Linked DNA regions of Lepisosteus oculatus. The main gene of each other region encodes a partner of the protein of the gene in region 2 in a complex. Links are inferred from orthologs where the notes say so. Each region holds a gene or a part of one and is shown on either strand. Other genes may lie near its edges. The genes, in order: cfap276, tubulin alpha-1A chain and pierce1.

Region 1 (7,362 bases), on a different chromosome or scaffold from region 2:
ACCATTTTGTCCCATTCAGGGGGAGCTGAAGCCTGTCCTGGCAGGTAAGCGGAGGAAGGCAGGATACATCCTGGACAGGACGCCAGTCCATCACAGGGTACACACACAAGGCGCAAACACACTCACACCAGGGCCAGTTTGTCCAGAAGCCCGTTAACTTACCCGTACGTTTTGGGGGCTGTGGAAGGCAACTAAAGCACCCGGAGGAAACCCACAGGAACACAGAGAGAACATACAAACTCCACACAGACAACATGTCAGTTCAGGAATTGAGCTAGGAATTGAATTGCTAGGCAGCAATGCTAATCACTCTACCATCGTTCTGTCCTGCTTCTGAACTAATTTCTCTTCAATGAGTTTTTCTTCACCCAGGAGGACAAGGAAACTTGTGTATCATTCTTAAAAAAACAGAGGGGCTTCATACTGAAACGAGGGCCATCTTTCAAATCCTCAAATAGAGGCTCACACCAGGCACAGGTTCAGCCTCAGCTAAGAGAGGGGGAGTGGGATAGGAGGCACTCCTTCACTGTGAAAGAGCAAAGTGTTCATGCCAAATAAGACTGTCTGCCACATCAATCATCAACTCACTTGCATCTCTGAAGAGTAGTTGTACTAAGACTTAAATTTGCAGGTTTAGTGCTCTGAATGTTGCTTTTTTCCCTCAGCTTTGTTCTTCACAGAACTGGTACAGCAGAAATGCTGCCACACCTAAGAAGGATGAGCACCTCCAGTCCTCAAGGGCCACGTAGTGTTTTGGTTATTGTTCCACCTCTCATTGGATTGAATTTAATTAATTATTTTGATTAAAGTCATGCCTTTCCACTGCCCTAAATAATACATTTCCAATGAATAAGGACCCATAAAAGCTGCAGGGATCCTGCCTTTGGGGAATGGAATTGCACATCCCTGTCTCAGTTTAACACCCCTGTTTGGCTTAACATCCCGATGGGCTCTCAGTTTAATCATTTGCTCCGTCAGCCTTCCTTAATCAGTTTCAGCTCTTGTAAAACTTGAAAGCAAAGATCTCATGTTTCTAGTAAGATGGTGAGAGATTGCTTGAAGCCTTCCAACACTGAAGAGCTGAAAATGAAAAGGTCAGGATACAGAATGCACTACATTTGATTAAGCGGACAAGAATTCAGCTAGAATAAAAACGGCACATTAGAAGCCAGATTGATCTGCCCTGCCTCACAGAAAGCTATCTTATAGCATTTTTCAGGGCTGCCACTATGGCTTTTGGCACTAGTCTTTGACTTTATTATACCAACATTATAATAATAATAGCTTACATTATATAGCACTTTTCGGGACACTCCACTCAAAGAGCTTTACAGGTAATGGGGACTCCCCTACACGACCACCAGTATGCAGCCCCACCTGAATGATGAGACAGCATTTATAGTGTGCCAGTACCCTCCCCACACACCAGCTATCAGTGGGGAGGAGAACAGAGTGCTGAAGCCAATTCATAGATGGGAATTATTAGGAGGCCAATGGAAAATTTGGCCAGGACACCGGGATAACACCCCTACACTTTTTGAGAAATGCCCTGGGATGTTTAATGACCACATAGAGTCAGGACGTCTGTGCTACATCTCATCCAAAGGACAACACCCTTTTTACAGTATCGGGTCTCCATCACTATACTGGAGATATTAAGATTCACACAGACTGGAGGGTGAGCGCCCTCTGCTGGCCCCACTTGCACCTCTTCCTGTCTCCTAGCTATAATTTATGATTAGTCTCTAGAGGAGATGCACACAAGCATGTAAAAAATATAGATTTTAGTTAAGTGCCACTTTTCTCACTTAAAACCTCGCAGTCGGTGGCTGATTGGATCTCCTGGCCACTGTGATCTCACCCGTGGTCTTCAGTGAATGTCTCTCTCTGGTACAGGGTCTCGTTCTTGTCCTTCAGGAACTCCTCGTGGTGGTCGTACAAGGATTTCAGCTGGAAGTCCAGCCTGTCCTGCGGGACCTAGGGGGCAAAGACAGAAAATGCATTTTCAGAGAAGCTGATCGCTGTGCTTGTGCAGCCCCATGGTTGAGCATTTTAGTAACCATGATAACCATCCATGATCAGAAAGTCTTGTTTTTCACCCTAGACAGGACATCAGTGCATTGCACTGTCCATACACACAATTTATAGACCACTTAACCGAAGGATCCAGAAGATATTACAGCCTTTAAATCATAAATGGATGAAGACCGGGAGCAATTTATGATCAATTTAAAAAGCAGTCAGTCAGAGATCATCAGGAACAGAACAATATCTCCCAGCCCTTGAGGACCAGTGTTCACCTCAAGTAGTCTCACTTGTTTAGTTCATCAGTAGCTCAAACAAGTGTTCCTGCTCTATACAGACCCAAGAGTTAGTCTAGCCCCACACGTCTTTAAAAACTGTAGCACCTGGAGGAAACCGCCATAGACATGAACATGCAGACTCCACACAGAAGGGTACACTAATCCGGGATGAAATCCTATGATGCAAAATGCATTCATGTGACTATATTTTCATTCAGACTGCACGTGTGTGATTCTTACCTCTGGATCGAAATACAGGACCTCTCTTCTGGCGCTGGACAGTGTAGCTCTGGCGTTCAGACGATTCCAGGGGTCTTCGTTCTGTGCCAGGTGAGTGGGTTTCGAGTAGGGCACCTTCTGAAGGAACAAGGTAGAGAGAGCCTGTCAATACTTTATCTCCCACTGTATAGATTAGTCCTTTGGTAAAACAAGTTCAAATTTCAGATCCTTCTATGATTTTTTTTTGGAAATAAGCTTTTCTATTAAATATACTTGTTTTTGTAGACATTTGTTATGACAATTAAATTAAAAACCGATTATGTTTAGTTATTTTGTCAACATGTACCCTATCTTAATACAACGCATTTCATTGTTGTGCAGAGAACATATGGTTTTTATTATTAAAAAGCGAAAAACGTTTGCACGTTGTGTTTTACCTGACAGTTCTTCGGTTTACCGATAAAGGTGTCGTCGTTTTCATATTTTGGGTACGGAAAGGGGTCTCGAGATCGTGGCATCTCTAGATGCGGCAGAACTTTCTGTACTTTTCCTACAGGACACTCAGACTGTGTACACTGGCCACTGGGGTTGCTAGGAGACCCACTGTGACGTGTCCTTTGTCACTTTCACACGTCACTTGACCCGTCGAACGTCATCTCTTCTCGATGCGGAGGGGATTAATAAGAACTTTTATTTATTAAGCGACTTTCCAAACCCAAGGACGCTGTACATAATGATAGAGATAAAAAGAGAAAACAATACAATAAGAAGTAAATAAAATGAAGCAGGAACATACATTTTTGGATAAACTGTAAACCAATCAGATTTAGGTCCTAGTAAAAAGGTGAGTTTTAAGTTTAGATTTGAGAAAGAGTCAATGAATTTGCCTCTCGAAGAGTCGGAGGAAGGGCATTCCATAACAATGGAGCAGTGACAGAAACATGAAGGAATTAAGAGAAGTGTGATGAAGCCAGACTGTTCAGAGCCTTATGAACAGTAACAGGAGCTTACATTGTATACCTGACTATATAGGCCCGGGAAGATAAAAATACACAAATGAGCAATTAAGAAATAAATGCGTTGATAACTAAGTATTGAGATACGTGTATGTCGGTTTAGACATGGATTTTGTAATATACCTTTCGATATGTAATTCTATACACAGCAATGCATTTATTTACACATTAACTAATTTCTACATCTAAACCAATTTAAACTAACCAACCAGTTACATTTAAACCAGTAGTAACTGGATTAATGATGCAGTTTCTTTCTTATTAACAGGAGACCATCATTAATAAACGAGTAGGTAGCTGCGTCACCATATGTAAGACGCAAAGGAACAGGTTAAAGTTTATTCCATGCTGAAAATGCGGGAAAGAGACACAAAGTTTCGGCTGTGAAGCCTTCTCAGCAGAGAAATAAATTCAAACCAATGTTTTGTTTTGTTTTTTCAATATCGGCACCGTTTATAAAGGGAAGATGGGTTGATTCTGGACCTGGGGTTTGTTTTAAAACCTAGCGAGTGTAACATTCCTATAAAATAGACAGACAAACACACAGGATCCCATCTGGGAGCTCTTGTGCTAACGAACCTGCTGGTAGAGGATGTTACAAACGCTAATCTTAATCTGTAATCCTGTCATATTTTTTTAGACCGTGGATTTAAGAAACTAAAACTAACTACAAAATAGGCTGTCTTGGGTGGAGAACCTGCTGTAAACCCCGGGTATTGTGAAACGTATTTGAGATCTACACCTGTCCTTGTTAACACAAACACGAGTTTTGAATTGCAGTTAGCACAGAGTCTTCGGTTTATTTTGAATGGAGCTATTGATTCCGACGGGTGTGTGTGCTGTTAGCTCAGACAGGGCCTCAGTGGAGAATTTGAAGAGTGGGCGCCTGGAAGTCTGAAGCGGTTTTTAGTAGGACTTTGAGAGCGACTGCTTAATTTCTGTTTCTGCCCTGGGAGGCCCGAGAGCCCTGGGTCTATACTGTCAGGTGGTCGCTGTGGTTTGTGTCCCCAGTACACTGTCAGGATGGGCAGAGTTTCAGGTCAATGTCCCATAGCGCAACACTGACCCATTAAACGCACATCAGAAGCTGCTTAGGCATCGAGGAAATGACACTTGGGATTCTGACAAGCGAATTAATCCGGTTTTAGCGGCGGAACTGTAGCGCAGTGGTTAGTGTTCCGGCTGCAGTGCTGGGGCCCGGGGTTCAGTTCAGAAAATGGGGTGATTTCTGTGTGACTTTTGTATGTTTCCTCCGGTGCTCTGGTTTCCACCCACGGTCCAAAAATTACTGGAAGGTTGATTGGCTTCTGGGAAACTGGCACTGGTGTGAGTGTCTGTGTGTGCCCCTAGATGGGCTGGCGTCCTGTCCGGGTTCTACCTGGCTCTGGCTCCCCCGCGACCGTTAATCGGTTAGAAAATGGAGGGACGGAAATGTATTAATGGATCATTTTAGTTACTTCTTGATTCGTGAAAATAAGATTGGCATTTTTAGAAACATAACAAGCAAATGTATTGTAAAGTACAGTGGCAGACTGTAGCAACAGTCAATTGGTAAAATTAAGTCTTACCAATTAAAATATGAGAGATTGACTACAAGGCGGGTTGCCTATTGTTATGTGGTAAATCCGGGCACAGTAGGTGGCGCGCCTGAAAAGGTGGAAACGCCTCATTCCCACCTGTGCTGCCTGCGGCTTCGGCACTTCCCGTGTCCGCCGAGTGGCGGCAGAGAGCCGCAGTGCCGAGGTGTGTATATAATGAGCCATGATGGCTATTAAACAGGCGCTCAGTCAGTAGGAAGAGCATCCGGGAGCGCTGGGACATCAGTATCTTCCCATCGCTTTCATCGGCTGTCACTCTCACTAGAATCCCAGGCACAGCGCCTAGTACCTCAGTGAAGACAGACAGGATGGGCTTAAACGGTCTATTTTCAAAGACGTGGAGTCTTCCGACCTGCCTCCTGGTCTCCAGCTACCTCTCTGTGTGGATTGTGTCTGTCCCAGGGGGGACAGCGCAGGAGAGACAGCTGCCCATGTGTAAGGAGGTAAGGACCCATCCGAGACGAACGCTCTGAATGGGTTAGATATATAAAAACCGGCTCTGAAAGACTGGGTCTTTGGGGCTCAAACACTACCCCAGCTTTTACAGGGCTGTCGTTTTGTACGTGGAAAAAAAAACACCTGTTGAAATAGTCATTTTCCATATTCGTTTACTCAAGTGCCTGAGGAAATTGATGAGACACCTGGACAGGTGTATGCAGAGCCATATGCTGTCGCTGTGGTTTTGCATTTTATTTTAATCAAGTATAATCAACAGGTATCATCTTTAGGCAGCATGTATGTGCATCCTAGGTCTGAAAACACTGGCGGTACAGTAGTCTGTTTAAAGAGCCCATGCAGTGTCTCGAAAGACAGGCTGTCGACAAATTTTAAAGCCTTACCGCTTTCAAACCTCCTGAGAAAAATAGTTCTTGTTTCACAATAGATTTCTCTTTGTGAGAAATGCTTTAAAGAATCTCTATTTCTTATTCGAGAAAAGGGTACCACGATCTCTATTAAACCTTTATTAACTATATATTAATCATGATTAATTTTAGTAACCCATACAAAATCGAGGATTACAGTGAAATTGCCTTTAATGAATGTGTTCTCCAAAGAAACAGATGGTGCGAGGCAGGTGTACGCGCGTTGTCAGATGGACCTTCAGTTGGAGTGCAGTTTGACATTAACCAGAGTGAAGTTAAAGATGTTATATTTTCCTTCCTTATAATTCTTTCAAAAAATGGAACAAAACACGTTTTCTGCAAATGAAAATTCTAAATTCTAAATCCTAAAACTCACAGCAGTCTTTTGTGCAAAGCGCCTTTTCGAAGAGGACTCCCTAAGGGAAACACAATACAGCAAACGATCAGTTTCTATTTCTTTATTTCTTTCTATTTCTAAGTACCTGTGTAGTAGGTACTTAGAAATAGATGTGTAGTACCATCTCAAATTAGTTTGTAATAAGTAGTGTAACAGTGGGGCAATTTAAAACTACAGTGGGACTGACAGATCTATAAATACATACAGTTCTGTAAATCGGTTTGCTCGCAGGGTATGTGAAAAAAACGATTAATCTGCAAGAGAATCTAAACTACCCTTAAAACAATCTGAGTCATTGGATACATGAATTGGAATAGGTATTTTTTAAGTCTTTATAATTTACATATGTTTGTTTTAGGAATTAACTTATAACCTTGGTTTGGATCCAGGGTGCCACATCTGTAACTGAAATTCTGAAGAGGTTACAGTGGGGTTCTGCGTTACCCTACAGCCTGCAAAATAACCAGCAGAGGTCAATTCCATACTGAAAAGTAGAAATAAAGAACCCAGATTTTTTGGCTGTTGTGCCTTCTTCATTAGAAGGCTGAGGAGCCATAGTTTTTCTTTCTATGTTTAAATCAGTTTGAGCTCATCTTGTATTAATGCTTATGTGATAATGGTACTGCTGGGCTCAGTGGTTAGCATTGCTGCCTTGTACTGTGGTGGCCCTGGGTTCAGTTCCTGAGGTGCTGTCTGTGTGGAGTTTGCATGTTCACCCTGTGTTTGTGTGAGCTTCCCCTCATCAAACCTCATCAAGTTTAATTAGGGTCTCTAAATCCTGCCTGTGTGGATGCATGCTCTGTGCTGGACTGGTCCCATCCAAAGTGTATTCCTGCCTTTTATCCTACATTTGTTGGATAAGATCCAGGTGGCCGTGGCCCTTATTAGTAACTTCCATCAGTGCATTTTCTAACTTCTTCTCCCAGTTCATGGTCGCGTTGGAACCAGAGCGTATCCCGGCAGGCT
Region 2 (7,517 bases):
GGCAGATGTCATAAATGGCCTCGTTGTCGACCATGAAGGCACAGTCGGAGTGCTCCAGGGTGGTGTGGGTGGTCAGGATGGAGTTGTAGGGCTCCACCACAGCTGTGGACACCTGGGGAGCTGGGTAGATGGAGAACTCCAGCTTGGACTTCTTGCCATAGTCGACAGACAGGCGTTCCATCAGCAGAGAGGTGAAACCAGAACCGGTACCACCTCCAAAGCTGTGGAAGACCAGGAAGCCCTGCAGACCTGTGCACTGGTCAGCCTGGAGAGAGAAGATGCATCTGGTTGACTACTGCAGAAGACAGACGTGCTCTCCATTCAATCTTTTTAATTCTTAACACGGGTGGTTTGGGCTGTTCAACATTCATTCAGATACCCACCAGTTTGCGGATCCTGTCCAGCACCAGGTCGATGATCTCTTTGCCGATGGTGTAGTGCCCACGGGCGTAGTTGTTGGCAGCATCCTCCTTGCCAGTGATGAGCTGCTCAGGGTGGAACAGCTGGCGGTAGGTTCCAGTGCGCACCTCATCTGGGGAGAGACGGGTGAAGGGCTGTGAGCTCAGGGGCTCTGGAGCAGGGAGGAAGAGGAACAGCCCTGATCCCCCTCCACTCCACAGCCTGCAGAGCTTACCGATGACTGTGGGCTCCAGGTCTACGAAGACAGCTCTCGGGACGTGCTTGCCCGCTCCGGTCTCGCTGAAGAAGGTGTTGAAGGAGTCGTCGCCGCCTCCGATGGTCTTGTCACTGGGCATCTGGCCATCCGGCTGGATCCCGTGCTCCAGGCAGTAGAGCTCCCAGCAGGCATTGCCAATCTGGACACCAGCCTGGCCGACATGGATGGAGATGCACTCACGCTGTGAAGAGAGAAAGAGATCAGTTAACAGGAGGAACTGTGCTGGCTGAAGATCAGAAGAGGAAGAATCCTGTAACTTACTCATTTCTGTGACCTCAGCTTGGATACAGTGTCAACCACCTGCAATGCATCAATCTTGATTTCCTCTCTAATTTACTTGATCAATGACATTGATTTAACTGCCTCGGTTAGACTATTTTAACACTATTTCAGTATTTAAAATATTTTGATCAGGCTGCTGTTCTGCACAGAAAGACAAATCCATAGAAATCTCACCTTTTAATGTAAACGCTTATCTGTTTACTTTAAACTTTAAGAAGGGACGCCTTAGGACTTTTAAATAGTGTAAGAAAAGGCTGATTTATAATCCAGTCCAGTATTTACTGACAAATTACCAAGCATTATTTCCTGCTGTTATTTTTTCTTTATTAGTGATTGGCCTTCTTGCAAGAGCCGTTTTTCAACAACTCATCTGTATTTCTGTACTGATTCCATCTTAATACGTTTTTCTTTAATAGTTACAGACCTTTACAAAGCCTGGCCCTTTTTCCCCAGTTGATTTTCTGCCGAGTAGTTTGACCTAAATCCTTTGTTTTCTTTTATAAAAAAAGAGGCATCTTCTCGTTTTTCTCCTTCCCAGCCACAGTACTGAATTGTGCTCTAGTGAGCAGCACAATAATGAGCCCTTTGAGGAAAAACCTCCATCGTAACTCCAGCAGGCCTCCTGCCCTCTTGACAGTCTACAAGCAGGTGTTACCATGTGGGCTACTCTCTTCATATTAGTGTGGACCACAACTCTTTTCACTGAAAATGTATACCGCTGTCGGGCAGTTATGCTACTGTACATCCAAGACAAAGAGCCTTGCTTTTACTTCATGGAATCATTGCTTGACCCGGTTAACAAAAGCACAGCAAGAGAGCGGAGCCGAACTGCAGAAGACCCTTAATACTTGAAAGAGTCGAACACGAAGGTTTGGGTACCAGTCTGCGCTCGCTGGCTGGCTGGCTGGCTGTGTGCAAGGCTTGGAGCTCTGGAGGAACGATCCAGCCTGCGCGGCGCTCGGGGCGGCTGGCGCGAGCTCACGCACATAATGGGTGGGGGTGAGAGCGCGCCAGACAAAGGACGGCGCGTTCGGAGCGCCGCGCGCCCGAGCCAGGCGGCGCGCGCTGGGGTTCTGCTCCATCTCGGCGCCGGCCACAGCACTCCCCGGGGTCCGAAACGGACACACGGACAGCCGCCCTGACAACGCGCAGCGGAAGCTGTGTGACATTTTAGTGCTCTGGAGAGCACTTCACATGAAAACAAACCGGCTTTCGGTCTTTTTTTCAGGCGCCGCGCTGCCGCTGACGGATGAAGTGCGTGCCAAGTCGGCTCGCATTTCTGTTGTCCTCGACAGCTCCATCCATTCGACTTCAAACTTAAAAAAAAATAGAAAACACACACCTGTCCGTTCCCATTTCTGTGATTTATCCAAGAAACGGACGGGCGTGGGGGTTGTAAAATCCGAAGTGACAGGACGTCTTACTGCGAGAGGCGGGGAACACCCAGATGTGTCCCAGATAATTTATTCCGCTCACAGCGCATTCCTGTCAAGTGCGCCTTTGTCTGAGACGGGGTTTCTCGGACCACATAGCCCAGTCCTCGCCAGTGAGGCCAACACTGGTCTATTGTTACTGGAGCCTTAGAGGCGAGGGGTTCCGGCATCGCACAATTTCAGACAGCTCCGTGTGCCGCTGGCAGTACGTCAAAATACTCTTGTTTCCCCGTCATCTCGTTATTTGGATTTTTTCTATAATGCATTTTCTACAAAAGCAACTGCCCTAGTCGTGAAAATGCTTTACCCTTCCAAAAATCCCGCCCCCACCACCCCTTCCACGTCTGTTCAGCACATGAAGCGGACCCCTCTGAGCAGGGTGACAAGTTACAGCGACAAGACAGCCAGCCTCGCCGCGCACTCCAGAAAACTCCACAGTGCTGCTCTTTCTTTCTACAGCTCAGACTACCATTTTCCTTTCAACACGCAAGGTAGCAAAGGAACCCCATTGTTCCGAAATGTGAAACCCCTCGCCTTACCATTTTCTATGCCGTCTGGAGTTCTTGTCTGGCAGGCGAGCGAGGGGGAAAGAGCCCGTTCAGAGAGTCTTCTCACAACCCGACAGCAAGGAGGTCGATGCAAGAGAACGTGAAGCACATGGGTGTGAACGGCTTATTATATACATGCGTTGCCGTGGCGACTGCGCCTGCGATTTTATCATTGGGCGACGTGTCTGCTGTCTGCCCGGAGACCTCGGCGGATCTGATTTCCCATTGGTTAAGGCACCACCCCGGCCGGACAAGCCCCTCCTGCCGACCCCCACCTTGTCCGGACAATAGAGAAAACAGTTATCTGTCGCTCACTTGGGTAAAGCATTAACAGCATCAGTTCATCATGGTCTAGCAACACTAATGGAGGAGGCATATCTCTGAAGAGGACTAGTGATACACATGGATTGATGCATTTAGGGGATATTCTGCCATATTTTATATCAGCAAAGTGTATAATTAATTGTGAACAATAGGTTTAATCCATGCTGAAAAGAGAAGAGAGAAAACACAACGTTTCGGCTGTGGAGCTTTTTGGCTCCTTCTGGCTCCACAGCCGAAACGTTGTATGTTCTCTCTTCTCTTTTCAGTGTGGAATAAACCTTTACTTGTTCCTTTGCAGCCTGCACATGCTGACGCAGCTCCCCACCTGAACTAATTAATTGTGATACTATTACTACAGGACCGTGACGCATAGTTCATGACTGATTAGAAAGTCTATCAATTGAGATATGTAATTAATACTTGGAGGGTCCCAGTACCTACAGAAGTAATTCAACTGTGTCAAGTCGTGAAGCATTAGTATTTTTTAAAAATGCATCATAAGAAAAGATCAGTGTTATCTTTAATCTGGCGGGGGGTGAAAGGTGATGTTAGAGGACAAGCCCCTCTTCCGCCTGGGGTCACCTTCTGGGTTAGTGTGGGGGGCTGAAAATCGACTCCCGTGAGGGATGACGAGGTCCACCCGTAATCAGAAAAGCACCCTTTCCGGGCAACGTTCGCAGGACCCGAGCTGCTCCCGATATCAGGGGTCTCGGGGCGCGACTGCACTCTGGACTGGTAGCCAGCCCCTCGCAGCCATACTGACCCACCGCTGAACTAAACCCACTCGGCCATCGGTGACTTGATCTGCTCCCGGCTGACAGAGACACTTAGCCTGACAGAAGGCAGGCCTGAGATGATTATTGTTTTTAACAGGAATCTCTCTCTGAAAACAGATGATCTAAGATTAAAGAAATACGCCCATTTAATGTGTGTAATGTGTGTGAGTTCTGCTGGATGCACTTTGTCATCGGCTGTGAGCCACACAAGTCCAGCAGATACAGATTTTGTAGGCCCTAATCCTGGGCGCATTTTATAATAATAATAATAATTGCTTACACTTATATAGCACTTTTATGGACACTCCACTCAAAGCGCTCTACAGGTAATGGGGACTCTCCTGAACCACTGCTCCACTGCTGCACATTGGTGGTGTGAAGCAGTTTCTTACCTCATTAAAAAAAAATCTGTATAGTTTTAGCGATTTTAGAAAGCTGAATGATAAAACCTTTAGTTAAGTGCATATATATTTCAGGACCCGAAGATGTGCTGTGTTGCCTCCCCCACAGTATCCGCATATTAGCTCCAGGCTTCAGGCGGCTTCCTCCACGCGCCATCTGCTTTCATCTGGGGCGCCCGCCCCGCCCCCACTACAGAGCCGGCACCCTCGCACCTGCGGCTCCCACAGGACCGGGCAACCGACAGCCCGCGCCGGAGGAGCACGCAGGAAGAGCCTGCACACCAGCTGAATTATACAGGCGATCGAAGGGCTTAAGTATTAAATTATGATGACTAAGCGACAGCGCGCTGTACGTGATGACTGCATGCTCTGTCGGATTGCTGTTCCCGATAAACGTGCGGTGTAACAGTCTCATACATTCGGCGACGCCCATGGCTGTGTTTAGTTGGCTACCCATCCTTTGTTCCCGTGAAACCTCGCTGTCTCTGACTGGGCTCCAATTTCCATAGCTTTTAATGTTTATAATTTTTAATAATTCAACAATTTTTCATTAGAGACACTCCCGTATTCTTCTTTCATAATAAATCTATTATAATGCATCGGTTTCACTAAATTAAAAAGAAAAGTCGCGATATAAAAATCTGCTCTTCCGTACGTTAGCCGTCACGTGCGCTCCATTATCTTGCCCTTGAAGCAAGCAGAAGTCAGCAGTCAGCATCGATTGTAAAAACCCTATATATATAGATCACGTTTCTATAAAAGGACCCTTTACAGCGGTTTTCCTGATGAAATGTTTCTGCAAGAAGCGCGGAGTCTGCGCCGCAGGTGCACGCCCATGGCGGCGCGCGGCCGTGCCACAAAGGCGCCGAGTGTGAAGCGAGCGCGGGCCCCGTGGCGGCTCTGCTCCCGGGTGTCTACCGAGTGCCGGGTAACAAAGACACCCCATGTGCTGGGGTGAGAGCCAAACGTGTAATGCTCACTGCATGTTTCCAATATACGTTTTTTAGAGCTAAAAAATAAAAACTGCTGTACCACTGGCTTAGTTGTACTTCACACCACCCTTGCCCTAGAACGAACTGTCCAGTCTCGCCTTTGGGGAGAAAAGTACTGGTTAATCCGACCTGAATATCGCAGAAAGAACTGCAGTTTGTAGATTGCAATGACTGTGCGATTCGGGGTGCAATTTGTCTTTAGGAAAGCCCTCAATACAGATGAAATATTTATGCAGACATTAATATTTCAGTTGGAAGTAATTTAAACCAACGTTGCGGAGGCCATGTCAGCCCGTGCTGTATATGAAAGCCCTGAAGCTAAGCAGCATCATGTACAAGTATCAGACTTCATCTGGATTATTATAATATTTCTGCTTTTCATCACTGTGTTTTATCACTCTACCATAAGCCACTCCCCGCTGCCATTTCTACTTAGGGTGTCTTTTCCCATCTTGATTGACTATTGCACCACACAGAGCTGCTGAAAAGGCTCTGGAAGCTAAGGGGCAGTGTATTTACGCCCGAGAACAGGAGACAGCTCTTTACACTAAAGGTTGTGGGGGTCTGGAACACACTACTCAAAGCAGATGACATCCCATCTCTTCAGCACCCAGAGGGCCGGCTGCCAGTCTGGACCATCTTGCCCCAGCACACACAAAGTCAAAGAAGGAGAAAGGCTACCCCCTAGCCCCCTTCTCAGTATCCTGTAGTTGCTAGGCAATGAATAGCTCAGTTGCTAGGATACCAGTAAGAGCCCAGGAGATGCTACATCAGGCTTCATAAAGCCCCCTTTTAGCAGTCGGTGGGTCACGTGGCCGATATTGAATGACAGTGCAGATGAGGAGAGGTGGGGGCAGCTTCGGCGGAGGAAATAAAGACACTCCCATCGCGCCCTCACCCTGGCAGAGCTCCTCACATTGACCATCCTACACCAGCGAGAAGGGACAGGAGTCCTGTGACATGTTTCACACGTAGCGCAGAGGAATAGGAAAGGAAAAGAACGCCCAAGACATAGCCTGACATACTCCTGACCCTCTCCAGTCACACACCAGATCTGGGCTTTTAAAGTGATTGTTTTCATGTTTGGAATTCACAGTTTCATTTATTTTGTACCTTGTTGTCCCACAGCTGTTACTAATTGCATGGTGTTTCTACAAACCGTACAAGCTGAAGCTGTCTGGCATGTCAGTGGGTGTCTTGTAATATGCCCTTCTGTTGCCAGGCATTGCTGAGCTTGTGGCGTTGGCGTTACTGTGCTCTCTCCCTCTCACAGCCTAATTCAAAGATGGCATCAGCACTGGCCTTGCAGAGACACAGTCCAGCGGGTCTCATAGATCACCCTTCACGTGTTATGTCTTGTAAATCTGTTGAAGCCAAAAATGTCACTAACTGACAGTACATACCAACCACGGATTCACCTTCTGATTTGTTAATTGTGCAAAATGTTTTTTAAAATGTCTGCATTTAGACGGAAACCTGCCTTGTGTAAAAGGGTTCCCGGACAGGAGCTGGCTGTGTGATTGATACTCAGTGGTCACTCATTATCACTGAGTGATAAGGGCGGAGTGGTGGCTCTGTGGCTAAGGATCTGTGCCTGTGGCTGGAAGGTTGCTGGTTCAAATCCTGCGGCCAGCAGAGGAATCCTACTCCGTTGGGCCCCTGAGCAAGGCCCTTAACCCCAACTGCTCCAGGGGTACTCATGGAGAGCAAGCTGGGGTATGCAAAAAGACAAATTCCTAATGCAAGAAATTGTATAGGGCTAATAAAGTGATGTTATGTTATCCCTCAGTCCTCCTTGCTCAGCTGTGGATTTCAGTCAATCCCAGAGCCAGAGCTTCTGGGCTTCTGGCCCTGGAGTCGGCAATGGTGGAGAGAAGGAAAACCAGTCGGAGTCTGTCAGTGGTGTTGGCCCATAACTGACATTCAGTCTGCCAATACAGCGGTCTTGTCGCTGCCTTCCTGAAGAATGTCATTTCTTTATCAGTGTCCCTGAAAAGGTGTCTATAGAAGTGTCAGTGTCATGGAAAGAAATCTATAGAGACTGGCTTTGTTTTGGGGGCAGCTGTCTGTTTAATCACAACTGAT
Region 3 (7,215 bases), on a different chromosome or scaffold from region 2:
TGCTACATTTTTATATTTATATGAGCATTCATCAGACTCTGTGTTAACTGCGATGTTGATTGTTTCTAAATTGTTTTTTAGGAGAAGCACACTGGGGAAGGAATAATGTTATAGATTTTGTTTAGCATAAATCAACCACACATCATTTTGATTGTTTTAATGAAACTGGTTTTAATAAATAACAGCAATTGTTGTGCTGAACATGGAGGATACAATTAATATACCTGGATAAAATAAAAGATGGATCTTAATAAAAAGGAAAAATATTAGCACTATTAGTTTGTTAGAAAAATAAATATCAAAACTCCTAACTGGTCTGTTCCATTACCTATAGAATCTTCTAAACCAACTAGCATCACATCTAGAGAACAAAAAATTAACAACAAATTCTTCAATTGTGTAAGGTATTCTGTCCCTGGTAGGGTAATTGTCCAGATATGACTAAAATCTTGAATCAGTCAGCACATAAAAAACAAAAGGCAATGAATTCCAGTTTACATATCCAAGTTTACTCCTCCCAGGCATTTTCATTTAAAACGTTGTAAAACACCTGTTTACTTAGAAAAAAATATATAAACATTGTTTATATTTTGAATATGAAGTTGAACTTGCTCCTCATCTTCAGAGGTTTTTTGTATTTGTAATCTCAGATTCCATTAGAGAATTTAATAGTCCCCAACAGTTGCTTGGGTTTCTATTGTACTTGAAATAACTGTTTTCTGAAATCCTACCAAAAACTGCAAACTGCAGCATATGACAAAATAGCATAATTAAGGGATATCATATATATTTTCAAAGGGTTTTGGAGTTATGTTAATTACTTCTGCCTTAATTGCTGTGATACCTTTAACTAAAATTGTGAGTTCTGGTTTACTTTTTTCATATTTAACATTTGTATTTATTATTGTGTTTTTGATAAGACTGCAGTTTAAAATTTGCTGTGACAGACAATTTCAAGATGTTTTTCAAAACCATCTGTTCTAACTTGCTGTTAACAAAAATAAGTTTAGAGGAACTTATTTGGAGAATGTTGTGATGTCTCTGTAAACAGATACAGATGTTGTTTCTTAGATCTACAATTCACAGTAATTGCCTTCCAAGTGTTTTTACAGAACTGTTCCAATGTTTACCATCACTTTTATGTAATATAAAATAAAGGATATTTTATTTCAGCATGTGAGACTTTTTATTAGCACATGGCATTTCCATTGGAACTAAATTAAAAGGGAAACAAAAATTATTTTAAAACATCGCATTGAATACCCATTATATGACTGAAATCTGAGAAGGTCAGTAATATCACTGAATAAATGTTTAATTGTGTTACTAGCAGTTTTGAATGAATTACCCAGTGTGAGAAGGTCCATTCATATTATAGGAAGTTTGAAAATTCAGTCTGTCATGAAATGTAATGAGGTTGTTAGGTCCAGTCACATAACTTTTCTCAGTTGATGTGTTGAAGCCATTGTCTTTGTACATTCCACATTTACTTAGGTATTCTGTAAACTGCCGAGTACTCCCATTAAAAGTGGTCTATTAGGAAAAAGAAAGAGAGGTTTCTTAGATGTAGATTTCAAATATAAACTTAACACACATTACCATATTTAACTCAGGGTTAAATTTTGAAAGTGTATTGAAAAAGCTTATTGTTATCTGGAAATACAGGGTATTGGTTAGGAATCTCGAGTGGGAATTGTCACAAATTCCAACCATGGGTAGGATGCTGCTATAAGAACATGAAAATGGCTATAAATAAGCGGATATTATTCAGCTCGTCAAGCTTGTTTGGTTGCTAGTATCTTATTGGTCCATGTATCTCATTCAACCATTTCTGAAAGGAAGCTAGACTACTGACTCCAGAAACATGGCTGATTAGCTTGTTTCAGATTCCTTTTTGTAAAAGAGTTTGTGCCTGCTGTTCTAATTTTTTAAAATATTTGTATGCTCGAGCAAAGTTTTTCATTAAAAATGCTAAGTGCCCAGCTGTTTACATGGGTCTTCAGATGGTCATTGCAAATCAGAATTTATTCTTAATTTACTTACCTGGTTCATTTAGAGATAAAATAAAATGCAGGGTTCTATTTTATATAAAATTGGTACATTATGCTAAATGTTATTTCTGGCACGAATAGTTTATAGCAAACATTCAAATGTTTAAATCTACATTTTAAGGAGCAGGCCTGCCTATATAAAGATCAACTGAAATCTCAGTTTTGCATTCATTCTGTTTATTATCTGTTTAATATCCATGTATTAGATAACCTCACCAAGCTGTGCCAAGTTTGCTGTTGATTAAATCTCATAGTAGACCATAATAATAAACTATTTTTGAATCTCTTACACCAGGCGAAATATGATAATTGATCAGTCGAGACCTTTGCCAGATACCAATCTACAGCTTACCAGAACAGAGAAGTACTGTGTATGTCTTTATACTAGTCATGCTTCTGAAATAAGGTTACTCTGAATTAAACGGTGCTTCTTCAGACAAAACATTATTTGAATAGTAAAAGCAATGCTGAATACTTTAATAAATATATGTCTGACAATCAGATTGATAAAGGACGGTAATTTTCAACTTACTGGCATTTCATGTACAGTGGGTCTCTTGCCCCCGTAAATTTGATTCGTTGTCCTGTATAGCGGGTTACGTGGCTTCTCTCTGAAATGGATTGTTACAGTATGGAAACTATAAATGAGTGCTTTAAAACTCTTACTTTTCACTTTATTAGCTAAGTACAAGCATTTAAATTACACTATTTAAAAATGTAAGTATCAAGAACACGGGCTCACCTGTACCCTTGGAACCAGTCGGGGTTATCAAATCTTTTCGGCAGATTTTTTTGCACTTTGTACACATCGCTCGTTTTGATGGAGACTCTGTTAGCTTCTTCCACTGTGTGTGTTGTATTTTCCATGTTTTGCTCAGTGATAACAAACGATGGAAAGTTGTGGGAGCCTTCGTCCACCAGGAAATATGCAGTTCAAGTTCTCCTTGACAAACAATCGGTTGCTAAGACACAGTAACCTGGTAACGTAGGATAATTGGTAAGTGATACATTCAATGGATCGCCACAAGATTGTCCACACTGTTTGAACCCGAGAGATAAAACTTGATAGAGGAGTCGTCAATACCATGTTAATTGCAAAGCAGGATTCATTCATTTCCTTAGCAAGGTAGCATAGTGCAAAACATAAATATTAATATAGACCCTCGCTGGTAATTTTAAGTGCGCCAAATCCTTAGAAGGATTACCTTAATAAAGGTATTTAATCCAAAGCATTCCGTGAATCCTCGAGAAACTGGCAACTATTATGACATATATCACCTTTAGTGTTAGCTGTTAGTAAGTATATAAAACCGTTCAACGGATGACGTTAAGAATTAGCTGATCTCTTTCGTCATACAACACAAATATAATAAAATACAATGATGTGATGATGTGCGTATTAACAACCTATTTTTAATGAGTAGGAAGTGTCGTTATAACATTCTTGTATCTACGATACACAATTAACAAGGAAACATATTTATCATATTACTAAGAAGACAGGGGCACTAAGGCGCGTGTTAATTGATATATATGGTAGTTCAGGTGGGTAGCTGCGTCAGCATGCGTAGGCTGCAAAGGAACAAGTAGGTTTATTCCATGCTGAAAAAAAGAAGAAAGACAAAACAACGTTTCGGCCGTGGAGCCTTTTTCAGATGTGAGCAACCTGAAAAAGGCTCCACGGCCGAAACGTTGTGTTTTCTTTCTTCTTTTTTTCAGCATGGAATAAACCTATTACTTGTTCCTATGTATATGGTATACGATGCTCAAACGGTAATCACATTTTTGCAACTGCTGAGTTTATAGAGATGGCTATTCATAGCCACACCAGTAGAGGACAGCATAACTCTGGAGACGCTGGACTTAAAAAAATCACTTGATTTTAATAAAGTTTTTTGAAAATACCCTCTGACCTCTACAAGGAGGAATAAGTAGGCATGGCTGCAGGTTTACTGAGAAAAGGTGAGTTTAATTGGTGTTCATTTGTAGCAACGACAATGTTCAAATTGTAATCCTCTTTCAAACACAAAAGAATAGACGTTTTTTCAGGTGTGTACTTAAATGTGTTTAAAGGATATGATAATATACTTTTTAACGTCGCAGTACGACGTAGTTGTAATGTGACTTTATTATAGGGCATGTAAGTGTAAATCCGAACCTTTCCCTTGAGCAATGTATTACATCTTGTAACCTTGAACACTAAACCATATTCTGTTGATCAATTAAGTTTTGTACGAATATGAAATAACAAAGCGTTATTGTAAATTGTAATATATTTAACGCAAAGCACAGTAACTGGGCACACACAATATGTGTTTCATACAAACATTTAAGCTTACTTTATGTAAGTATTAATTAGAATAAGAACTGATGATTGAAACTGTTTTTTGTCTTTCAGCTTTTCCCAGGCTCGGGAGTCCCGGCCTAGCGGGTGGGGTGGCGCCTGGGTCATCGGGTATCTTAGGTCGTCTATATGGTACTGCAGCTCTGCAGATTCACCAGACTCATGCTGACAGTTCAGGTAAGCCGATTTCTCAACGCTTGTTGTTACGATTCCCTCGACACAGAGTACAATATATGATCCTTTTTATGGAAAAAAAAACATATATAAATTTAGAACTATAATGTTTACATGCTGAAAAAATGAAAACTGGTGTCATTAGATAATTGCTAAAATAATGAAATGTTGTACACCCAGATTAATGGTATCAATAATAGTTATTGAAACTGGCCTTACATAAATTGTCTGTTTTTCTCCTTTTTGGTGTTTTCTGTAGCTGGAAATGAGAAATTATTAACAGAGCCCCTGAAACATCCTGACTTCTTTCGTGTATCAGAGCTGTTCTCTCTGAAGGATCTTTTTGAGGCCAGAGTTCACTTGGGTCACAAAAGAGGCTGTAGACACAGGTAATGAAAATGAATCCTTCAGGAGTAGCCTTAGCTGGATTTATATATTTGAAGTCACCTTTACTTTGACATTTACAGGGGTTCCAGGTATATCTCAGTGATTCCGTTTTATATTTCTGAGAGGTTGTACTGTACCTTTATTGAAAGTCAAACAAGATTATCTTCTAGCCTTTCATGTGTTTGTTTAACAGCAATCCTTAATTTACTTGGACAAGGCAACATGTTGCTTACTCTTTTCCTTGTTAGTTTCTATTTTTCACTTAAAATGTCAAGTTTTTCTGGATCCAAGAGTTGGCCCATCTAAACTACAAACTGAAACCAATCCTGTTTTTGCTGCAAAAGGGTTACAGTCTGACAGTCAACAAACTTTGCTGCTTTAAAAAATGACAAACAATTATCAAACTAATGTTCAAAATTGTGTATCTGTACCATTACTTTTGGAATACTTGTGTAGGTTATGGGTTCTGTGAAATAATTATAAAAAAAGACTTATCATTTTAAAACATTTTTAGTTGCATTATATTTAAAATAATATTCTTGAGAAAGTCAGAAACTGAAATCTTTTTGCAGTGTAGAATGTTCTTCACCACTTTCCTGTGTTTTTTTTCCACAGGCTGATGGAACCTTATTTATTTGGCTGTCGTCTGGAGCAGGACATCATTGATCTCGACCAAACAGTGGAGCACCTACAGCAGGCACTTAATTTCACTGCGCATGTGGCATATCGTGGGGGGGTGATTCTGTTTATCAGCCGCAACCGACAGTTCAGCCACCTGATCGAGAAAATGGCAAGGGACTGTGGCGAGTATGCTCACACCCGTTACTGGCAGGGGGGGCTCCTTACTAATGCCCCAGTCCAGTATGGGAAGGGTGTGAGGCTGCCTGACGTCATTATTTTCCTCAGCACACTCAACAATGTCTTTCAGCAACATGTGGCCATCCGTGACGCAGCCAAGATGAACATCCCTACATTGGGCATTGTGGACTCCAACTGCAATCCCAGTCTGATCACATACCCCGTCCCTGGGAATGATGATACGCCAGCAAGTATAGAGCTTTACTGCAAGCTCTTCAGAATGACTATCAACAGAGCCAAGGACAAAAGGAGGCAAATGGAACTCCTCCATAGTCTGAGTAATCAAAGTCCATGATCTATGAATTGTTTTTTAGATTGTATCAATTGACATTGGCATTGCCCTTTGCATCTATGTACATTGTCCCCCCTTTCTGCATATAAGTATGTTTTTTAATAATGTGATATTCTTTCTTTTTTTGTTTGCAATGTTCCTTTCAGAAAGTTTCTTTAGGAATCCAGAATACTTCACTTTTGTATTTCTGTTTATGGTTTCATAACTGGTGTTCTGCAATCAATAAATGGTCCACAAAGCTAAATTGTCTGCCATTTATTCAAACTTGGAAAACAGCAGCCTTAAGAGCTGCATCTAATGTTGTAAAGACTGTGAAAGGCAACAAAGTACCATAAAAAATATTTGAACCTTTATGACAGTACAGTATCTGTTTCTCATGGTTAGTACCCCACATGTAACTTTTCAGGTGGATGTATGACTGGATCTGATGGCTTAAAACTATTTGAATTTTAAAAATAGCTCTGGTTAAATTTCAATGGAAAGGCTGTACATTAATATTGTGAAATCTTTTTTGATAATTCAATTAATATTTATATAGTGCCTTTCAGAACAAGGTTGCAACAAGGCACTCAACAAAGCATACATGTGAATACAGAACAGAAAAGACCAGAAGACAATGGAGGAGAGGAACCAAAAACTATAGAATCGGTCTTATTTGTAAGATAAGCTATTGTCTTAAATAGGTAGCGAGGGTTAATTTTATTGGTTTCAATAAGTTCAGAGTAGTAGACCAAACAAGCTCTATATAGGTCTTTCTTATATTGTTATCCATTCTGACTTGAATACTTGTAGACCAGTAGACCTCCATTTGCACTCTAGTTTGCGGCACTCCTGTTTAAGGGATTGTGTGTGATCATTATACCATGGAGAGTGACTAGTGGCTTTGACTACCTTAGTCTTTAACGGGGCAATTTCATCAAGAGCCTGTCTGACCACTGCATTAGAATAGTTGTGTGATTTCATCAACATTATTATTGGAGATGAAGTTAACATTGTTCATTGTGTTAATAAAATTTAATGAAGTACCTCCGTTGATATGTTGTGTTGTAATAGTCTCCTACTTGGCAGCTATCAAGAGCAGTCAAATCTCAAAAGTAATTAAAGAGTTA

The links.
Region 1: the proteins of tubulin alpha-1A chain (region 2) and cfap276 are in contact, whole or in part, in a cryo-EM structure (PDB 7UNG), measured with the Homo sapiens proteins. The link is inferred for Lepisosteus oculatus from reciprocal best matches to the Homo sapiens genes TUBA1A and CFAP276. Residues at the interface, in NP_001257328.1 of Homo sapiens: Lys112, Glu113, Ile115, Asp116, Leu117, Leu119, Asp120, Arg123, Lys124, Asp127, Arg156, Ser158, Val159, Asp160, Gly162, Lys163, Leu195, Glu196, His197, Ser198, Asp199, Tyr262, Pro263, Arg264, Trp346, Lys430, Asp431, Glu434, Val435, Val437; in NP_001231954.1 of Homo sapiens: Pro43, Trp44, Arg46, Leu47, Asn48, Thr50, Pro51, Thr52, Ile53, Thr54, Ser55, Arg57, Arg58, Ala60, Tyr62, Asp64, Ile67, Pro68, Lys69, Asp70, Asp71, Phe74, Arg75, Lys90, Ser91, Leu94, Leu95, Asn96, Lys98, Thr99.
Region 3: the proteins of tubulin alpha-1A chain (region 2) and pierce1 are in contact, whole or in part, in a cryo-EM structure (PDB 7UNG), measured with the Homo sapiens proteins. The link is inferred for Lepisosteus oculatus from reciprocal best matches to the Homo sapiens genes TUBA1A and PIERCE1. Residues at the interface, in NP_001257328.1 of Homo sapiens: Met1, Arg2, Gln15, Asn18, Ala19, Glu22, Cys25, Leu26, Glu27, His28, Gly29, Ile30, Gln31, Pro32, Asp33, Met36, Pro37, Asp39, Lys40, Asp46, Asp47, Ser48, Asn50, Glu77, Gly81, Thr82, Tyr83, Tyr224, Thr225, Asn228; in NP_001041730.1 of Homo sapiens: Tyr28, Pro35, Gly36, Arg37, Phe38, Trp43, Phe44, Arg45, Gly46, Tyr47, Arg48, Thr58, Ser59, Asn60, Gln61, Ala62, Tyr63, Gly64, Arg66, His71, Glu72, Pro74, Phe77, Tyr78, Pro79, Asn80, Ser81, Asn82, Lys83.

The regions. Positions count from the first base shown.
Region 1 is NC_090700.1:30,600,211-30,607,572, reverse strand, and holds the start of cfap276 (cilia- and flagella-associated protein 276), read right to left. Parts: upstream 3,098-7,362; 5' UTR 3,041-3,097; coding exon 2,960-3,040; intron 2,661-2,959; coding exon 2,544-2,660; intron 1,978-2,543; coding exon 1,862-1,977; intron 1-1,861. Other genes in the region: elapor1 (endosome/lysosome-associated apoptosis and autophagy regulator 1), read left to right, coding at 5,445-5,579. UniProt on the Homo sapiens protein: Microtubule inner protein (MIP) part of the dynein-decorated doublet microtubules (DMTs) in cilia axoneme, which is required for motile cilia beating. May play an important role for the maintenance of myelin-axon integrity.
Region 2 is NC_090696.1:15,178,763-15,186,279, reverse strand, and holds the start of tubulin alpha-1A chain, read right to left. Parts: upstream 3,052-7,517; 5' UTR 2,934-3,051; coding exon 2,931-2,933; intron 858-2,930; coding exon 635-857; intron 533-634; coding exon 384-532; intron 266-383; coding exon 1-265. UniProt on the Homo sapiens protein: Tubulin is the major constituent of microtubules, a cylinder consisting of laterally associated linear protofilaments composed of alpha- and beta-tubulin heterodimers.
Region 3 is NC_090719.1:5,633,327-5,640,541, reverse strand, and holds pierce1 (piercer of microtubule wall 2 protein), read right to left. Parts: upstream 3,028-7,215; 5' UTR 2,919-3,027; coding exon 2,794-2,918; intron 2,663-2,793; coding exon 2,584-2,662; intron 1,534-2,583; coding exon 1,345-1,533; 3' UTR 146-1,344; downstream 1-145. Other genes in the region: mrps2 (small ribosomal subunit protein uS2m), read left to right, coding at 3,989-4,013, 4,450-4,572, 4,829-4,958, 5,572-6,109. UniProt on the Homo sapiens protein: Microtubule inner protein involved in the attachment of outer dynein arms (ODAs) to dynein-decorated doublet microtubules (DMTs) in cilia axoneme, which is required for motile cilia beating.